Oryctolagus cuniculus: one gene and its partners. The protein of the gene in region 1 interacts with the protein of each later gene in a pairwise test. Links are inferred from orthologs where the notes say so. Each region holds a gene or a part of one and is shown in the gene's direction. Other genes may lie near its edges. The genes, in order: ZNF24, MID2, YJU2B, DZIP3 and PGBD1.

Region 1 (3,516 bases):
TGGGTGTTTCTCAGTGAGACTTAGAAATAAAAATTTTTCTCAGTACCATGATATATTTCAAACAGAGCGGATGCTTCTATAGAAAACCTTTTTTTTTTTTTTTATAAAGTTGACTTCTAAATTTTTTTTAAAAGGATTTATTTATTTGAAAGGCCGAGTTAGAGAGGGAGAGATATAGAGAGTTTCTATCCGTTGGTTTACTCCCCAGATGGCTATGATAAGTGGGGCTGGGCTGATCCGAAGCCAGGAGCCAGGAGCTTCCTCTGGGTCTCCCACGTGGGTGCAGGGGCTGAAAGATTTGAGCCATCCTCTGCTGCATTTCCAGGCACATTTGTGAGGAGCTGGATTGGAAGTGGAGCAGCAGTGAACTTGAACTGTTACCCGTATGGGTGCTGCAGGCAGTGACTCTACCCACTATACCACAGTGCCAGCCCCTATAGAAAACCTTTTACTTATTCAGGATGTTTTGAAATGTCGTGTCTTGAGTTAACAAAGGAGGCCCCAAGCTTGTCTTTAGCTCTTTTCTGGTCAGGATGCCCATGTTCTGCTTTTAATCTAATCTTTGCTGTGACTTACCTTATTTTACTCATTTTAGAAATAGCTTTTTTCTGTTTTGCTGTTTACATCAGTGATTTCTCCTTTTATCAAAGCGCAAGAACGTTATAACAGTTTCCTAATTTTTTCTTAACAAAGTTTGATCCAGGCCTAACAATATCACTATTCTACCTCACCATCTTAGCATCCACCATCTGTTTGTCCTTTGTTTTCTGACTGCCATTTACAACCTATTTGCTTAAGTTATATCTACAACTTTTACATCATTATGCTATTATCTAACCTCATAATTAGTCATTTCATTTTTTCTGTTTTGATAGTAGGCAACCTGAACACCAATTTTCAGAGTGCATTTATAGGTGTTCCTAACATACTTTTAGTTCATTAAAAAAAAAAGCTTTTCTTTCTTTCGCCCTAAAATAGGATATGAATGATATTTACATTTTCTGTCTATTTCAGATGATGATGCTAGGACTGAAAATGGAGCACTGGCTCCAAAGCAGGAGATCCCTTCGGCAGCAGAATCTCAGGAAGTTCCTGGCACTCTGAATATAGGTGTTCCTCAGATTTTTAAATACGGAGAAACTTGTTTCCCCAAGGGCAGGTTTGAAAGAAAGAGAAATCCCTCTCGGAAGAAACAGCATATATGTGATGAATGTGGAAAACATTTCAGTCAGGGCTCAGCCCTCATTCTTCATCAAAGAATCCACAGTGGGGAGAAACCTTACGGATGTGTTGAGTGTGGGAAAGCCTTCAGCAGAAGCTCCATCCTTGTGCAACACCAGAGAGTCCATACTGGAGAAAAACCTTACAAATGTCTTGAATGCGGGAAAGCCTTTAGCCAGAATTCTGGGCTTATTAATCATCAGAGAATCCATACTGGGGAGAAACCGTATGAATGTGTTCAGTGTGGGAAATCATATAGTCAAAGCTCAAATCTTTTTAGACATCAGAGAAGACACAATGCAGAAAAACTTCTGAATGTTGTGAAAGTTTGAGAAATTAAAAAAAAAAAAAGAATCAGCACTCAGGTCTTTTTCTTCAGAAATGAAGACAAAATTTAAAACATGAAATATTACATAATAGTTTTTTCCCTATTGACTGTCAGAAAATCCACTTGGAAATGTAAAAATATATTTACTCACCATTATTATTTTATCTTGAATGAAATGGTGTCATACCTGCCTAGAAACTGAAAATTTCAGACTAATTCAGGTATTAATACCTAAATTTTCCATGTGATGTTTATATTTTCTATTTCCAAATAATGAACTGCCTGGTTCTTTGTCCCTTTCTTAAAAGTTTCCTTTTTTAGACAGATTGTTTGTGTTGATCATTGAAATGTTCTTTGTAAGAATACATTCCCTTCTACATTAAAAGGCAACATAGAGGAATTTATGAAATCTGAAAACCATCTTAAACTTTTAAGATATCTTTTAAGAATTTGCCTTTCTGTTTCTTTTTACCTAATTCGAATATGCATTTAAGAAAATAGAAGATAAAAGATGACTAAAAACTTCAAAGTAAAATGAGCCTTAAGATCTCAGGTAAGAAGTGATGTTGATAAAACATCAAAAGTGAATGGGACATCTAGATTGGGGAAGATAATGCAAATACTTTGATAAGTTTATCTAAATGCAGTCATTCACCTGTAGGAAACTCGAACTACTCATCGTGTCTGTAATTTGGAAACATCTAATTAATGAATATAAGTGTTGTTCTAGGTATTACTGAAAGGTAGATAGTCTAAACGATAAATAATTGTAAAACTATAAAGGTAGAAAATACAACACTTGGGAAGAATTTGTAATAAATGCAGTGTTGAAGGGCAAATATGAACATAAAGGTAATGGTCTCTTTGGGCTGTTTTGCCTTCATCTTTGTTAAGGATAAAATTCCCTGACAAGTGGGCAACTAACAATCAGGTTTGCTATTTTTATTTCTTTGGTATAACAGAGTTGCACACCAGGCTAAAGAAGCAGCCCTGCATTTATTACACATTGTCTACAGACGAGGCACTGTGCTAGGTACTGTAATCCTACTTAGGTAGGTAGGTGTTTCTTCCACTGTAAATTGTTACGGGGTTTGGTACAAAGTTGTTGGGTGTGAGTTAGCCCCTTCCCCATGTCTGAACATTCCTCGGGGAGGTCACCTCTGATTTCCAGAGCCAGTGTGCTCTCACCAGGGTGTTGTATTGGGGTAGGACTCTACTTAAGAGCTAGCCGCCAGCTCTCCCACATATTTCAGAGGTGAGCCCAAGATAATTCTCTTAAAATAGTTTGGAGATTTGTAAATCTTAAACTAACCAATCTCAAGTAGCATTGGAGTTGTTACATATATGTTAAGTTGAATGGACTGTGTCTGTTTAAGAAATAAACAACTAGACTATTAACAGCTAGTTTATTAACTACCAGAATTGATCAATTTTTTAAAAAATTTTCAGTCTTAACATTTAAAAAAATGTATTAAAGTAATACATTGTAGTAGTAGGATTATTTACTCCTTGGCTGATAATCCCAAGTACTGTGGTTCTACTGTTTAGTGGAAAACTCTGGAAGTTGAAATATAGAATATGAGAAAAGGCTTTTTTTTATATATATATGATGGGCTTCATTGTGTGGAGAATGATCCATGTGAATACAAATATTACATAGTTCCAGAGATTCTGGATATATCTGGTACTTGGATCAAATTTAAAAATGGAAGGTGAGAGTTGCATGAGCCTATTAAAAAGCATAGTAATAAACTCAAGGCCAGTTGATGGAGATATGAGGCAGAATGGAGCTTGTTTATAGATTTTCTGATAATTATAAGAAATGTGCTTTATAGATTAAGATTTATTGAAGTATAAATATGTAGTATGATATAATGTATTTTAAGTTATACAAGAAATGTAGGGACTTTTGTTTGGGTCTTTTTCTCTTCGTGGCTGAGAGGAAACAAGTCAATGTCCAATAAAGC
Region 2 (4,169 bases), on another chromosome or scaffold:
GCCTTGTTTCTGCATTTCCATTCTGTGCGCGCTCTCTCCTCTCTCTCTCTCTCTCTCTCTCTCTCTCTCTCTCTCTCACACACACACACACACACACACGCCCGCTCAGGCCCCTCTCCGTGTGCCTTCCTTCAAGATGCCAGGGCGCTGGAGAAAAGGCTGCTGGAATCAGCTGGTAGGTACAGTAGTAACCCGAACCCCACCCACCGGCTGCCTTTGCCTGCTCAGGTTTCTCTGGTCACTCCTGCCAGGGGAGAAAACATGTAATGCGCCTCCAGAGGAGGGGCTAGGGGAGCTGGGAGTGGCGGGGGTGGCGGAAGGTGAGCCCTGGAAGGTGGCCCAGGGTCCCTTCTGCCGGGGCCCTTCCCAGTGCTCCCTTGAGGTGTTAGCCCCAGCCCTGTTTGCCCCTCTCCACCCCCACCCCCCTTTGCGAAAGGATTGCCTTTTTTTTTTTTCCTCTGCGGCGGCGGAAATGACAATGTGGTGCTAGCGTGGTGTCATGGTGCTGCCCCTGGACTGAGGAGTGAAAACTCTTTAAGTTCAGCCGGGGAGAGCCGGCCGCGATAGCGAGGCGACAACCGGGCCGTCCCCTGCGGGCCGCGCGAGCTGCTGGATCCTGGCTGCTGCGCGGCGGCGGCGGCGGCGGCGGCAGCGGCAGCAGCAGCGAAGGCGGCAGCGAAGGCGGGCGGCGGCCTAGAGTGGTGGTGGCGGCGGCAGCGACGGCGGCCCGGGAGCTTGCGCTGGAGCCCGAGTCAGCTCGCTGCGGAGGCAAGCGAGCGCCCGGCGCTCTCTGGCGCGCGGAGGAGATGGCTGGCACCTGGGAACGCTATGGGTAAAACGCGCCCCCTCGCCGCGGCCCTAAGGGTCTAGTGTCCTCGCCCACTCAGGTCTCGGCCCTGGCTGCGGCCGCTCTTCAGGTGCCGCCGGGCCCGGCGCTGGCCGAGGGCTCCGGGGCTCGGCAGGGTGGAGTGACGGGGCCCGTGAGGCTGGAGGCAGCGGCGGCGGGATCCCGGTCCGGCTCTGGCTCCCCGGTCCGCCGTTGGGGCACGGGCTGCTGCCGCTGCCGCCCACCCCTCCTCCCCTCCCCCGGACGGAGTTTGTACTCCAGGGTGCGGTGCGGGGGCGGCCCGAGGCCTCCAGCGGAGCCGCGCCGGGCTGGGCGCTGGCAGTCGAGCCGTTCCCTCGGTGCCTGGGCGCGAGTCTGGGAAAAGGGCACTACTGCCTTCCCACGCTTCCGCGGTCGGCAGCCTAGTCGGCCCGGGAGGCGCCCGTGTCTGGCGGGGCTGGCCCAGCAGCCAGCGGGCGATGCCGCGGACACCCTGCCGGCGGGGAGGCCAGGCGAAACTTAATCCCTTTTCTGCCGCCGGAGCGATCCTCCACGTCTGGGTGGCTTCTTATTTCTGGCCTAGCTGTGAAAGCAGCTGTGTGGGGGAGAGGGGAAACTTAACGTATGTCCACAGGACTGACTGCGACTGAATCAGGGAGAGGTGTGTGTTTTTTTTTTTTTTTCATTCCTTGCTCGTAAGTATTAAGTAAATAACGGCGGAGTCGATTTACAGAAACATTGCTGGTTTCGGTTAGTTAGCACTTCGTGTGCAGCACATTATTTTTCGGAGGCGTTTCTTGTAGAGCAGGAAATTGGGATCCTAGGGTGGTAGGGCTCAGCACTTTCCCTCTTTCTTCCGCACTTCCATACCACCTTCAGGATCACTCACCTTCTTCCTATGGCGAAAATACCTAAATTTCTGCCCCATCGAGATCTCCCCCCATGGCCCTTCCGGCACTTCCGTGCTCACCCTGTCCCCATCAATCTGTGCACTCCCCAGCCACGCAGCCTCTTGCTTTTTCAACCACTTTGCCCTTTGGAGGATTTCAGAATGTGGGGCTGGTGGATGGCGATGGTTGTGTGTCTTTAAGGAGGATCCCTTTTAAAGGAATACAGTGTATTGGAAATTGTGTAATAGACAAGTACTGTGCGTGGGTTGCTTAGTCTGATCTCAAGTTGGGTTATAAGGGCTGCCTTTAACCCTTTTTCTGTTTGCTCCCAGTACTCCGATCAGTTCTGTGGCAATTTTCCCAATAGAGGGGGTTGTTGAACAGGGAGGTCCCCTCCCCTACTTTTTTTTCGTTTTGGGGGGCAATTTCATTCTATCCAGATGGTTATTCCCGCTTCCACACATTCTCCCCTTTCTACCTCCTCTCCACTCATCACTGCCCTGAAGGCCTAACAGTTGCTATTTTTATTTATTCCTGCCCAATGAATTATTTTAATGCCGACACATAATGTGAATTAGATTTCTCCTAATTGTTCCTCACAAATTGATTTTTGTGAGGTCTAGGAAACCTGAAGATCAGGGAGTTCATGACAAATCTGATGTTGCCTTGGCTGTATGACCTTAGCACATGCCTATGACCTTTCTTTCATAGTTGGTGCACTTCTGTAAAAGGCATAATATTGTGTGTTGGGTATTGTGAGTTTTGCCTTGGTCCTTTGAAGATGAAAGAGTTCTATAAATCCTCAGCATTATACTTTTCAAAGAAAGCACTTCATTTACCTTTTATTGGGTTAGTGGATTGGGCATTAGTAAGAACCCTAGTTTATGGGAAACCTTAATTTGCCATTGTTAACCCTTTGGAAGCCAAATTTGTTATACTTACACCCTAAGTCTGTTTCTCCCCAATGTGTGTACAATTGAATAAAAACTTACATACAATTTGGCACACAGATAATGGTATAAATCATATAAGTGCTTAAATCATATCTAATGTACTCTAACCTCACAATTTGAGTCAGACTCCTTTGAAAATCTAATCTTGCCCCTTTTTAGCCTACTTGGGTGACAGTTAGTTAATTTCTAATGAAAACTGACAGTAATTTAGGCATAGCTCTATAAGCATCATTAGCAGCTAGCAGCAATGAGTCAACAATATTTATTAAGCACCTTTATTGTGAATAGTCCTTTGCTGACTGGGCTGAGACCCCAGACTTGGCACAGCATTTTGGCCTCCTGCTTGTTCCAGGCCTAACTCCATACCTGCAGCTCCAGGATTAGTACAGGGAGGGGCTGTGCAGGGTAGAGATAGCGGCTAGGTACAGGAAGGGCTACTTCTGTCCCTCCTATTTACTTTTGTGACTACTAGAATTCCCATCTAGCCTGTTGTACCTTACAAGGCCTCCTCCAGAGAGTGCTGCTGCAATTCAAAGTGACTTGGTTGCTTCTTGAGTGTATCGGAACAGTGCAAATAGATTTAGATGAAATTGGTTTAGGTAATCCCTTCTCTAAGAGCAGGGTAACTTGCTCCAACTTGCTGGTCCTAAAGTAGTGCCAGTGGAGTCTCATAATTGTATCCAGATACTGCTCTGGGTAGTGAGCTTGTCCATTCCCTCATCCCTCCCCCCATAAAATCTGCTGACACTACAGCAGTTGAGAATGGAAACTACAAGAGTATATCTTTATCACTCAGCAAACCTCATTGGCTTGGGAAAGAGGAGGGAATGCTATCTTTTCATTTTATCCCTTAGAACTCAAGTTCTGTTTTTCAGTAGGGACATAGAGCCATGGAAACGGTGAAGATAGAGCTGAGGCACAGAATATGTTTCAAATGGCTGTTCTGGTGGTACCCCCAGAACATGTCTCATGTGGATCTGTCTTTATGGATCTTGGTAACTTCCTAGGTGTTAGGTCATGGAATGTGACTGGTGGTTAAGGGGGTGCTCTATTTCTGATTAGCAATTACATTTTGTTCCTCTCAGTGGGGAAAATGAGGCTTTCTGTTTATGAAGTGCCTGCTTATTTAAGCTGAATATTTTGACTTGCAGCACTGTGTCATCAAAATATGAGGTGTTACATGTTCATTCTGGATATTCAAAAGTTTAGAGTTCAAATCCATTTACTTGTCAGTGCATGAAATTTTGGTAACAGAGTGGTGTCTAATTAGTGTATTTCAGGTTTCTCAAAAAATTGTGTAAATCATTGAGCAATGTACAGAGAAGACTAGAAAAGTGTTTCTCAATCAGTGCATTGGGTCACCTAATAAGTGAGAAGGCCAGATGAGTGGCATTGAGATGAGAAATCTCAACTGCAATCATTCCCCTGTGCAGACTTCCTTTAGAAAAAAAAATCCCTCTGCTCCAAAGATCAAGATATGTTTCTCTTTCCACTTTTATG
Region 3 (4,010 bases), on another chromosome or scaffold:
TCCCCTGCGTGGGCTGAGTCCCCTGCGTGGCCGAGTCCCCCCCGCGTGGGCTGAGTCCCCCGCGTGGCCCGAGTCCCCTGAGTGGCTGAATCCCCTGCGTGGCTGAGTGCCCTGCATGGCTGAGTCCCCTGCGTGGCCGAGTCCCCCCTGCGTGGCCGAATCCCCCTGCGTGGCTGAGTCCCCCCTGAGTGGCTGAGTCCCTGCGTGGCTGAGTCCCCTGCGTGGGCTGAGTCCCCCCTGACTCACTCTGAGACACTAAGCACAGACGCCGTCCAGAGCCACCCGGAGCGCCCAGGCCACAGAGGAAACGGGGAGGGGAAGCGCCCTGTCCAGCGGGGCGCCCTGAGCGCTCGTGTTCCAGCGAGCGCTGTGCGTGGACCCAGGCCGGCCTCCGCCTGTGGTGATGGACGGAAACTTGGCTTCGGGCCAACCAATCATAGAACGCGTTTGAGAAGCTCCACCCATCGTGGGCGTTCTGGCCCGTCCCGGTTGCCTTGACAACCGGGCCAGGCGTCCGGGCGGGGCCTCGCGCGTGCTTGCGCATGCGTTTTGAGGTGCGCTTCCTGCCCCACCATCGGCGTTCAGGCCCCGCCCTGTTGCCTTAACAACCGCGCCGGCGTCAGGGCCGCGCGTGTTTGCGCATGCTTTTGCGGTGCACCGCCTGCACCCACAGTCGGCATCCTGGCCCCGCCCCGGTTGCCTTGACAACCTGCCCAGGCGTCCGGGCGGGGCCTCGCGCGTGCTTGCGCATGCGCTTTGCGGTGTGCCGCCTGCGTCCGAGGCTGGACCCGGTTCCCCGTTCGTAGAAGTGGAAGATGCACAGCTGCCCCGTAGAGGGCCCGGCCAGGCGGGGTCCCAGGGCACCCCGTCTTTCCTGCTGGCGCAGACACCTGCCGCCCAGCTCATTGCGGCGAGGGTGGACCGGGCGCCGGCCACCGCCCCGTCGGCGCCACCCACACGTCTCCGACGCCGACAGGCCGGAGCCTGGGCAGCCCACAGCCAGGCGCGTGCGCACACACGCTCGAAGCCAGCGCCTGTGCAGCTCACACACCCATCACTCAGCGGCGGCAGCGCAGGACGCGGCGTTTCCGGGAGGGCGGCATCAGAAAGCAGGCCTCCGATTGGGCCTCGCGCGGAGTGGGCGGGGAAAGGGGGTGTGGCTCCGTGGGGGCGGGGAATACTCGTTCTGCTCCATTCCGGTGCTTGTGAGTGCGCGGGCTGTGGACTCTCAGCCAATCAGCGCGGCGCTGCTGCTTCGCCCCGCCCCCGCCCCGCTCCGGCGCCTGCGCAAGGGGGTCAAGTCGCCGCGATCCAGGGCGCGCTTCCGGGACCGTCGCGGCGTGACGTCAGAGGAGGGCAGGTAAGTGCGGGCTCTTGGGGTCAGGGGCCACCCGGCTCCTGGGCGGACACGGAATGGGAGGGGTGCGGGGCCCGGCGGGCGACCCAGGTCCCCCGGGCCCCCGCTGCGACCCCCGACTTAACCCTGGGCCCCTATGACGTCTGATGCGGGCCCTTGTCTTCCTTGGAAGGGAGCCCTTGCCTTTAAGCCCAATGACGCTGTAAAATGATGCTCGGAAAACCAAATTAAGATTGATTTGCTTTTTTGAAAGACAGAGTTGCAGAGAGAGGTAGAGGCAGAGAGAGAGAGGTCTTCCATCTGCTGGTTCACTCCCCAGATGGCCGCAACGGCCAGAGCTGGGCTGATCAGGAGCCGGGAGCTGCATCCGGGTCTCCCACGCAGGTGCAGGGACCTAAGCACTTGGGCCATCTTCCACTGCTTTCTCAGGCCAATAGCAGAGAGCCGGATGGGAAGTGGAGCAGCCGGGACTCGAACCGGCGCCCACATGGGATGCCAGCGCAGCAGGCGTTGGCTCAACCTAACATGCCGCGATGCTGGCCCCTGGATTCCAAGTGTTTTTGCACCAGAATAAACATAACCTTTAATCCCGTGCTCCAGGAAGCTCGCTCGTGTAGCCCGCTGTGGAGTTGACCCTTCCCTCCCTCCCTCCCTCCCTCCCTAGGAGATGCACGCGGCTCCTCGGATGCCTCCCCCATCGGGCCCGAGACTCCTCTGAACTGGCTCCGCCGCACGGCCCGCGAGATCCTCCCCGGGAAGCCGTGGCCCCTGTGCCAGGCTCGAGAAAGCACGTTGTGGGTCGGCCACCTTGAAGGCCAAGGCCAGTAGGCAGCCACCAAGATGGTGAGTGGAGGGAAGGCCGGGCGCTCCCTGGGTTCCTGGCTCCGTCTCTGTCGGGCCTGCCGGGAGTCCCGCTCCTCCGGCCCCACCCCCCACCCCCCCAAGTCGGCGTCTGCCAAGGTCACGGCCACTCTGGCCAGCTCTCAGCCTGGACGTCTTGCTGCAGATTCCGAAGCTTTGCAGCGCGCCCAGATCTCCCGGGAAGGGGTGGAGGCAGCAGTGTTTATGTAGTTGAGAGGTCTTCCATCTGCTGGTTCCCTCCCCAAATGGCCGCAACGGCCGGAGCTGGGCCAGACCGAAGCCAGGAGCCTGGAGCTTCTTCCAGGTCTCCCATGCAGGTGCAGGGGCCCAAGCACTTGGGCCATATTCTGCTGCTTTCCCAGGTGCATTAGCAGGGAGCTGGATCAGAAGTGGAGCAGCCGGGACTCGAACCAGGCACACAGACAGGCAGGGGGTGCAGCATCCCCCAAGCACTGCCCCAGACACCCACCTTCCCCCAGAATGGGTCTGAACACTCGTGACCCCACCCCCCCCAGCATCATTGCCCGCAACACGGGGCAGGGTGGTCCCTGACCTGGCCGGGATTCAGCGCTGCTGAGCGGTGACGGGCGTTAAACCCATTTTGACTGAAAATAATTTCCATTTCTGAGAGCTTTAGAGCGACGTGTCTCCATCCTAGGCCAAGGAGCTCCTGTACACCGTGGAGCCAGGCGCTTTGGCGCCTGGTAGGCGGTGGGGGCGCCGGCCGGAGAGGGTGGGCAGGACCCCATGGGGAGCCCAGGGAGGGCTCCCCATTCACGATTCCAAGTCTGGCTGCTACCAGGTGCCCTCGGCTCCATGAGCGGCGTCTGAACTTCCCCTTGGACTTGTCCAAAGCGGTGACACTGACCTTGGGTTTTTTCCCACCCCTGGCTCTGGCCCTCAGCCAGATCAGAGCCCCTGGACCGGACAGAGGCAACCCCCTCCCCCTCTGTGACCACAGGGTCCACGGCCGCGGATTCAGCCAATCACAACACAGGGATATTTTAGGGGTGGGGGGTCAGACGGGCCAGCAGCACTGACTGCGTAGGAGATGACTCTGGCGCGAAGACAGACGCCCCCACCCCCACCCCCCCATCCCCGGAGGCCGCGTGCACCTGCCGGTCTCCCGGAGGCGGGCTCTGAGTCACTTCTTTCTCCTCTGTCCTCCAGGGGGAACGGAAAGGCGTCAACAAGTACTACCCGCCCGATTTCAACCCCGAGAAGGTAAGGGGCGGCTTCCTGCCTTCCCGGGTGTCTGGAGTGGGGGTGGGGGGCTGCAGTGGCCATGCTGGAGACATCCCCTGCGTGCCCAGTGCCAGGCTCAGCATGTACACAGCAGAGCTTAGGATGCGGTAGGGTGCGGGGGTGGGGCTCCCATGGCGACCTTGTCGCCCCCTCTGCCTCCCTCTAGGTCGTTCCACACAGAGGTCCTGCCCCCCCCCACCCCCACCCCATCACCTTCTGGTTCTCTGTTGCCTCTCTGCATGCCTTAAACCCCGCCCACGGTGGCCAGGAGTGGCTGGGTCTGGGTCTCCCTCGTAGAGGAGGGATTAGGGCAGGCCACAGTTCCTCCCCCACCCCCGCCCCATGTCAAGAGGGCAAATAAAATGACCCCAGGATGGGGATCTGGCTCATGGTGCCCCCCGACCCCTGCCCCCAAAACTTGGAGGTCCAAAGGCCCGTTAGCCCCAGCTAATAGATAAACGGGGAAACTGAGGCGCGGAGGCCAAGGTCACACAGCTTCTTCCAGCTGCCAGTTGGGGAGGCGAGAAAGGTTGGCCCTCACCCATGG
Region 4 (2,180 bases), on another chromosome or scaffold:
TCTATTTTTCAGAGTCAAGGAAAATCAGTACCAAATGGTAATTGTGTTTCACCTAGCCATTCTCCATCACAATCTAACACTGCCCAGCCTCCAAAAGCAGCCTGGAGGCCTCTTAGTTCACAAGATTCTGCCACATGGGAAGGAGCCAATAACTTGGTGAGACTGAAATAATTGATTCTGTACACACTTAGAAATTGTTAAAATAAATAAATAAATAAATTTTAATTGTATAAATTTTCTCCAGGAGGCAGAGGAGGAGGAAGAAGAACCTTGTGTGATCTGTCATGAGAATCTGTCTCCAGAAAACCTTTCAGTTTTGCCTTGTGCTCACAAATTTCACTCTCAGGTAACTCTTTAAACTTGTTCTGTTAATGTTTTATCATTAATCAGCCAAGAGAGATCCGTACTGCATTACTTAAAATCACATACATATATCATTGCCATGTCATGTATTCCACTAGGATAATTCTGTAATTTTGTATACCACACAGAAATATTCATACCTTTTGCCTCTTTATATAGCCTGTGGCAGGCTTTCTTAGATCTCTATTTGCCATCCAGGAGAACAACATAAAGATAACATAAGATGGTACAAAGTAGACGGAATTCCCTTGAATAGAACTAGGAGACATGTTGGTTGGTATGGAATTTTACTGGCAGAACTAGCAGCAGTGCTATTTTACCTTGAAATAATATAAATTACACATAGGATCCTTTGTCTATATCTCATGATGGCTCTCTATCATTATGAAGCATGAGTTACCATAACAGTCTTCTGTGTTTGTAGGTTTGAGATTTGATTTTAGAAAAACATGAGACTGACCTAGGCTTTGTTGATTCTGTGCATTTGTGTAGATTATTTCTTGGTGTTGCTGGCTGTGCACATGTTAACTGATACAAAATTAATGGACTGAGTCTTGTATTGCAGAGATATAAATTGAAGGAGGAAAATGTAATCTACCCAAGAAAGTCTTCTCAGTAAAGTGAACAATAGCATGCTCCTTCAAGCCATAGTAGTAAAACATCATTTCAAAGATATACAATCACAGTAGAATTATATTTTACACATCATCTAATATGAAGAGATGTACAGAAAATGGCTAATCCCAAAATATCTCCAAGGAAAGATACTTAACCACCTGACTTTCCCATTTTGAAGTTTTAGAAGTTCTAGTCATTTAGAAAAAAATGATTTAACAAATTTTTATTGTATTCTTTGCCATTGGCCATTGAACAGAACACACATAATTCATTCAGTTAGTGAACCTTCCTTATAATACTTGATCATTTCTATTTTGACCTTGCTATCCATTATTCATACAGATAAAAATGATATGTGCTTGGAGAGTCAGTATTCAAGCCAATAGTTTAATAGGTAGTTCACAGCCAAAGATTGCTACTGTTTTCATAAAACAATCTGAGAACTATATTTTGGGATTTTTAACTTTAGAACACCACAAGTACTTCATGCCCGGTATTGGTATCTTTTGTGTCTGTAATTATAACTTTTTCTGAATTATAAGTAGGAACAATGTATAAGAAAATAAAGTAGAGAGAATATAACAAATTTCCTCAATCTCTTTACCAGAAAGGATTGCTAGTCTTCCTATAAATTGGGACTGAGGAAAGAATCTTTATAGAATAAAATGGCTGAAATATGTTTAGCAGCTACCAGCTATTTATAACCTCAGCAAACCACAGAGAGGTATCATATTTGTAGAAGTTATCATGGCGGGGCCGGCACTGGGGCACAGTGGGTTAACGCCCTGCCTTGAAGCACTGGCATCCCAAATGGGTGCCGGTTCGAGACTCAGCTGCTCAACTTCGATCCAGCTCTCTGCGATGGCCTGGAAAAGCAGTGCAAGAGGGCCCAAGTCCTTGGGCCCCAGCACCCGTGTGGGAGACCCGGAAGCTCCTGGCTCCTGGTTTATGATCAGCACAGCTTGCGGCCATTTGGGGAGTGACCATTGGATGGAAGACCTCTCTCTCATATTAACAATTATATTGATAATCTTGGTATAGAGTAACATCTGTCTGTTTTAGGCTAAATCTGAGAGACTGACATTAATCTTTTTTCTCCATAGTGCATTAGACCATGGCTGATGCAACAGGGAACATGCCCAACCTGCAGACTCCATGTTTTGCTACCAGAAGAATTCCCTGGTCATCCCAGCCGTCAG
Region 5 (4,182 bases), on another chromosome or scaffold:
TTATAATTCTGACTCTATGACAAGGCATGTTCACCTCTGCTAATTTTTCCACTAGAGTCTCCTTTTATTCTTAAAGAGCAGTGTCCTTGAAAATTTAATAGGGAATTGTATTTTTAAATTTTATTTTTAAATTTTAATTTTAGTTTGAGAGACAGTAAGAGACAGGCAGAGAAAGAGCTTCCATCTGCTGGTTCATTCTACAACATGCCTGCAACAGCCAGAGCTGGGGCAGATTGAAAGCAGAAATTTAGAACTCTGAGTCTCTCATGTGGGTAGCAGGTACCCTAGTTCTGCTGCCTCCCAAGTGCGTATCAGTAGGAACCTGGAATCAGAAAAGAAGCCAAGGCTCAAACCCAGATTTTCCGATGTGGAATGTGGGCATCTTAACTGCTGTGCTAAACACCTGCCCCTGTATACCAAAATTTCAAATGCACACGCCCTTTGAACAGGTGCACTGGTGCAATTGTTTATCCTAGAAATGAATTCACAAAAGAATGTACACATGGAATGCTGATGCCTACAGAATAGCTTGTACATCAACAGGGATATTAAATAAGTTAAGGTACACCCATAGAGTGGAATACTATTTAGCTGTTAAAGAATAAGTTGTGGGGGCTGGCGCTGTGGGGCAGCAGGTAAAAGCTGCAGCTTGCTCTGCCGGGATCCAGTGTCGTCACTGGTTCGAGTCCCGGCTACTCCACTTCCAATCCAGATCCCTGCTAATGCGCCTGGGAAAGCAGCAGAGGATGACCCAAGTGCTTAGGGAGACCCAGGTGAAGCTCCTGGTTCCTGGTTCCTGGTCTGGCCCAGTCTTGGCCATAGCGGCCATCTGGGGAGTGAACCAGTAGATGGAAGATCCGTCTCTCATCTCTCTGTGTTAACTCTGCCTTTCAAATAAATAAATGTTAAAAAAAAAAAAAAAAGAATAAGTTGTGTGGGCTGCAAAATTAAATTGTGATCCCGTTAAGCGTTTTAAAATACATATACACGAGTACTTTTTCACCAAACAAGAGGTTTATTAAATGCTATACACAAAACATTGACAGTAGTTAGCTCTGGGGAATGAGGCACTTTTGATTTTACCATCTTTGCACAAATTGATTCTTTACATATATAATCTGCATAAAATAATCTGTACAGTTTGCTGACCTGAACTATTGGTTGATCTTCCATTTCTGTGAAGACTCCCGAAGAGTGAGATTCGTCTTTGTGTTTGCTATTCTGTCGCGTTTTAACTGAAAGCCCCTCCGTAAACGTGTGACGCGCTCGGGCCGTGCAGGTGCCCCGGGCATCGCGCGTTGGCCCGAGGCCCGCGCGGGCGGGCGTGGGGCGGCGCTCCGCCCGACGCACCACAGAGAGGAGCGGCCGCGCTCCTAGAGAGGCGCGAGCCGCCGGAAGCTGCGCGTTGAGCGCCGGCACCGGGAGACCGGAGACCGTTGACTCTTAGCTCTGGGTGTGAGACGCGCTCTCGGCCCTTGTCCTCGTCGCAGGGAGCCCCGGGGAGACTCACCCGCCCAGCGAGACGCCGCGGCCCGGCCTCTGGGGAGACTGGCCGGCACCTCCCAGGCCTCCGCGTTCCGGTGGGAACGAGCCTTTCGCGAGGTCGGCTACATCTTTGTTGTGTACAGTTCCTAAACTTTAATGGTCTTTTAACCAGCAGTGAAACACACACGCTTATTGAGTGTCTACCGTGTGCCAGGCGCTATGCGAGGTGCAGGGGTGCAATCTTAGATACAGCCCGCCCCCTCCGCCCGAGGGTGCCCTGGCTACTGGCATCTCGGGTACATCTGCGTGCCTTCGTCAAGAAGTCCAGCAGTGTTTGTTGACTACCAGGTACGTGCCGGGCTCTTGGAGTATATAAGCTCCTGTGTTTAGGAGCATGTCGGGGTGAAGTGAAATGGAGAGAGGGGCGTGGCTTCAGGTTTGTATGGTACACCCCACCTCCACCTGCGTGGCCTAGAGACAGAATAGTTTTCCCGGTCTGTACTTAGTTGGCATTTGCCCTGGGCGTTGGGAGTTTACCATTGGAAGCACAGTGGTGGTGTAAAGGACAGAAGATGGAGACTTGTTGAGTAGCCAGCATGGCAGTGACTTTCGTGAAGGTAGAGGTGAATTTAAATGAGGACTTAGCTGTATGTCTGAAAATAATGAGGCACTCGAAAAGTTGAGATAAATTGAACCTGGGGGATTGAATTTCATCCAAGGAGAAGTATTCAGACGTTCTTTGAGAAGGTTGGTAGGAAAAGCAAACCTTGCAGTCATGCGACAGCAGTCAACATGGAAGCCTTCCTGCTTGACGTTTGCACTGACAGGTAATCAAGCAGTGAGTTCTGCGGCAGACACCAGCTGAGTGTGTGTCCTCTAATTCAAGTCGCATGTGACATGTTCTACCTGGAGAGAGTGACATCCCACGGGTTGAGGGCTCAGTCCCAGAGGACTGCGCCCCACTTCCTTATGTCAACCATAAGCACCAGGTGGTTTTTCTTGTGCTTCTGACGGACTGGCTGTAAACCGTGTTTCCATTACCCTCTCTTTGGATTTGGTTCATTTCCTAGGGTGGCTCACAGAACTCAGGAAAGCATACAGTGTTTACTGGTATATTGCAAAGGGTTTTCCCAGTGATGTGGATGAAGAGTTGCACAGGGCAAAGTATGCGAGAAGGGGCATGGGGCATCCACACCACTCTCCACATGTTCTGCTGTCCAGCAGGTCCCCAAATCCTCTCCTTGTGGGTTGAGGAGCCTTCATTACAGAGATTAAGTCATTGGCTGTTGGCCGTCAACTCAACCTTCAGCCCGTCTCCACTCCCCTGAGGCTGGAGCTGGAAGTCCTAGCACACTAATGTTGCCTCAGTCTGTCTGCTGACCACCCCCATCCTGAAGCTACTCAGGAGCTTCCAGCTGTCAGTTGATCCTAAGCATACAAAGAGACATCCTCACTTCCAAGATTTCACGGATTTGAGGACAAATACCAAGTAAATATTTCATAGTGTCACAGGAGGTGTGTTGAATGTTGTCAGAATTGTGCATTGAGAAACTGCTAATCCTGTGACCATATAGAGAAGGGACTCAAGCAGGTCTATCACACAGAAAATTATTAGTCCTAGTTAATTAAACTGATAGTAGGATAAAAGGAAAGAACAGCTGCAAGAGGCGTTCTGTAGAAAGACTTGACTGATTTTAATCCTAAATGCATGGAAGATGGCAGTGATATGAATAGAAATGGACAAATACATGGTGAAATACAGCCTTGAGGGGATTTCAGTTTGGGATCTATTGAAATTATAGTGCAGGAGAATCCTATAGCTGGAGGTATCCTGCTGGCATTTCAAGTTGTAGGTCAGGGAAGTAAAAGGTCAGTTAGAACCAGACAGAGATTTGGGTGGTTTTGGAAGAGATAGATATTGACATTGTGATAGAGATCACAAAAGGAGAAAGCAAGGAGAGAGAAAAAAGGAACTTGACGCGTGTGTACTGTTTCAGTTATCTTAAAGGAAACCCTAAATTTAGTGACTTAAAACAGTTTCTCAGGATCTGTAGGCTGAGTGGTCAATTGTACTGCTGGTCTCACTTGGGAGTCACTCATATACAAGGTTTTCAAAAAGAATGCAAATGCATATTATGAAAAAACTGTGCATAGGTAAAATTTTTGCAGCAAAATAAACTTAATTTTTATATTTTTAAAACATTTATTTATTTATTTGAAAGGCAGAGTTACAGAGAAGCAGAGAAAGAGAGAGACAGAAAAAGATAGTCAGATAGCCACAGTGGCCGGAGCTGAACTGATCCGAAGCCAGGAGCTAGGAGCTTCTTCCAGGTCTCCCACGTGGGTGCAGGGGCCCAAGGACTTGGGCCGTCTTCTCCTCTCCCCGGCCATAGCAGAGAGCTAGATTGGAAGTGGAGCAGCCAGGACTCGAACCACCACCCATATGGGATGCCAGCACTGCAGGTGGTGGCTTTACTCGCTATGCCACAGCGCCAGCCTCAATTTTATTTTGAAAGTCAGAGTTAAAAGAGGAAGAGAGAGAGATCTTCCATCCTCTGGTTCACTCCCCAAATGACTGTAGTGGCCCAGGCTGGCCAAGCCAACGCCAGGAGTCAGGAGCTTCATCTGGGTCTCCCATGTGGGTGACAGGTCCCAAACACTTGGGCCATTCTCTGCTGCCTTTCCCAGGCCATTAGC

What was found.
Region 2: the proteins of ZNF24 (region 1) and MID2 interact in binary tests that used the Homo sapiens proteins (3 or more experiments, as listed by UniProt). The two-hybrid records come from large-scale screens. The link is inferred for Oryctolagus cuniculus from reciprocal best matches to the Homo sapiens genes ZNF24 and MID2.
Region 3: the proteins of ZNF24 (region 1) and YJU2B interact in binary tests that used the Homo sapiens proteins (3 or more experiments, as listed by UniProt). The two-hybrid records come from large-scale screens. The link is inferred for Oryctolagus cuniculus from reciprocal best matches to the Homo sapiens genes ZNF24 and YJU2B.
Region 4: the proteins of ZNF24 (region 1) and DZIP3 interact in binary tests that used the Homo sapiens proteins (3 or more experiments, as listed by UniProt). The link is inferred for Oryctolagus cuniculus from reciprocal best matches to the Homo sapiens genes ZNF24 and DZIP3.
Region 5: the proteins of ZNF24 (region 1) and PGBD1 interact in binary tests that used the Homo sapiens proteins (3 or more experiments, as listed by UniProt). The two-hybrid records come from large-scale screens. The link is inferred for Oryctolagus cuniculus from reciprocal best matches to the Homo sapiens genes ZNF24 and PGBD1.

What each region holds. Positions count from the first base shown.
Region 1 is NC_091441.1:42,258,290-42,261,805, forward strand, and holds part of ZNF24 (zinc finger protein 24), read left to right. Parts: intron 1-1,014; coding exon 1,015-1,553; 3' UTR 1,554-3,516. UniProt on the Homo sapiens protein: Transcription factor required for myelination of differentiated oligodendrocytes. Required for the conversion of oligodendrocytes from the premyelinating to the myelinating state.
Region 2 is NC_091453.1:85,475,291-85,479,459, reverse strand, and holds the start of MID2 (probable E3 ubiquitin-protein ligase MID2), read left to right. Parts: upstream 1-1,357; 5' UTR 1,358-1,450; coding exon 1,451-1,487; intron 1,488-4,169. UniProt on the Homo sapiens protein: E3 ubiquitin ligase that plays a role in microtubule stabilization. Mediates the 'Lys-48'-linked polyubiquitination of LRRK2 to drive its localization to microtubules and its proteasomal degradation in neurons.
Region 3 is NC_091447.1:62,806,126-62,810,135, forward strand, and holds the start of YJU2B (probable splicing factor YJU2B), read left to right. Parts: upstream 1-1,203; 5' UTR 1,204-1,360; intron 1,361-2,021; 5' UTR 2,022-2,197; coding exon 2,198-2,200; intron 2,201-3,388; coding exon 3,389-3,442; intron 3,443-4,010. UniProt on the Homo sapiens protein: May be involved in mRNA splicing.
Region 4 is NC_091435.1:64,435,411-64,437,590, forward strand, and holds part of DZIP3 (E3 ubiquitin-protein ligase DZIP3), read left to right. Parts: intron 1-12; coding exon 13-156; intron 157-244; coding exon 245-346; intron 347-2,084; coding exon 2,085-2,180. UniProt on the Homo sapiens protein: E3 Ubiquitin ligase proteins mediate ubiquitination and subsequent proteasomal degradation of target proteins.
Region 5 is NC_091436.1:153,741,315-153,745,496, forward strand, and holds the start of PGBD1 (piggyBac transposable element-derived protein 1), read left to right. Parts: upstream 1-1,372; 5' UTR 1,373-1,602; exon of another isoform or gene 1,603-4,182.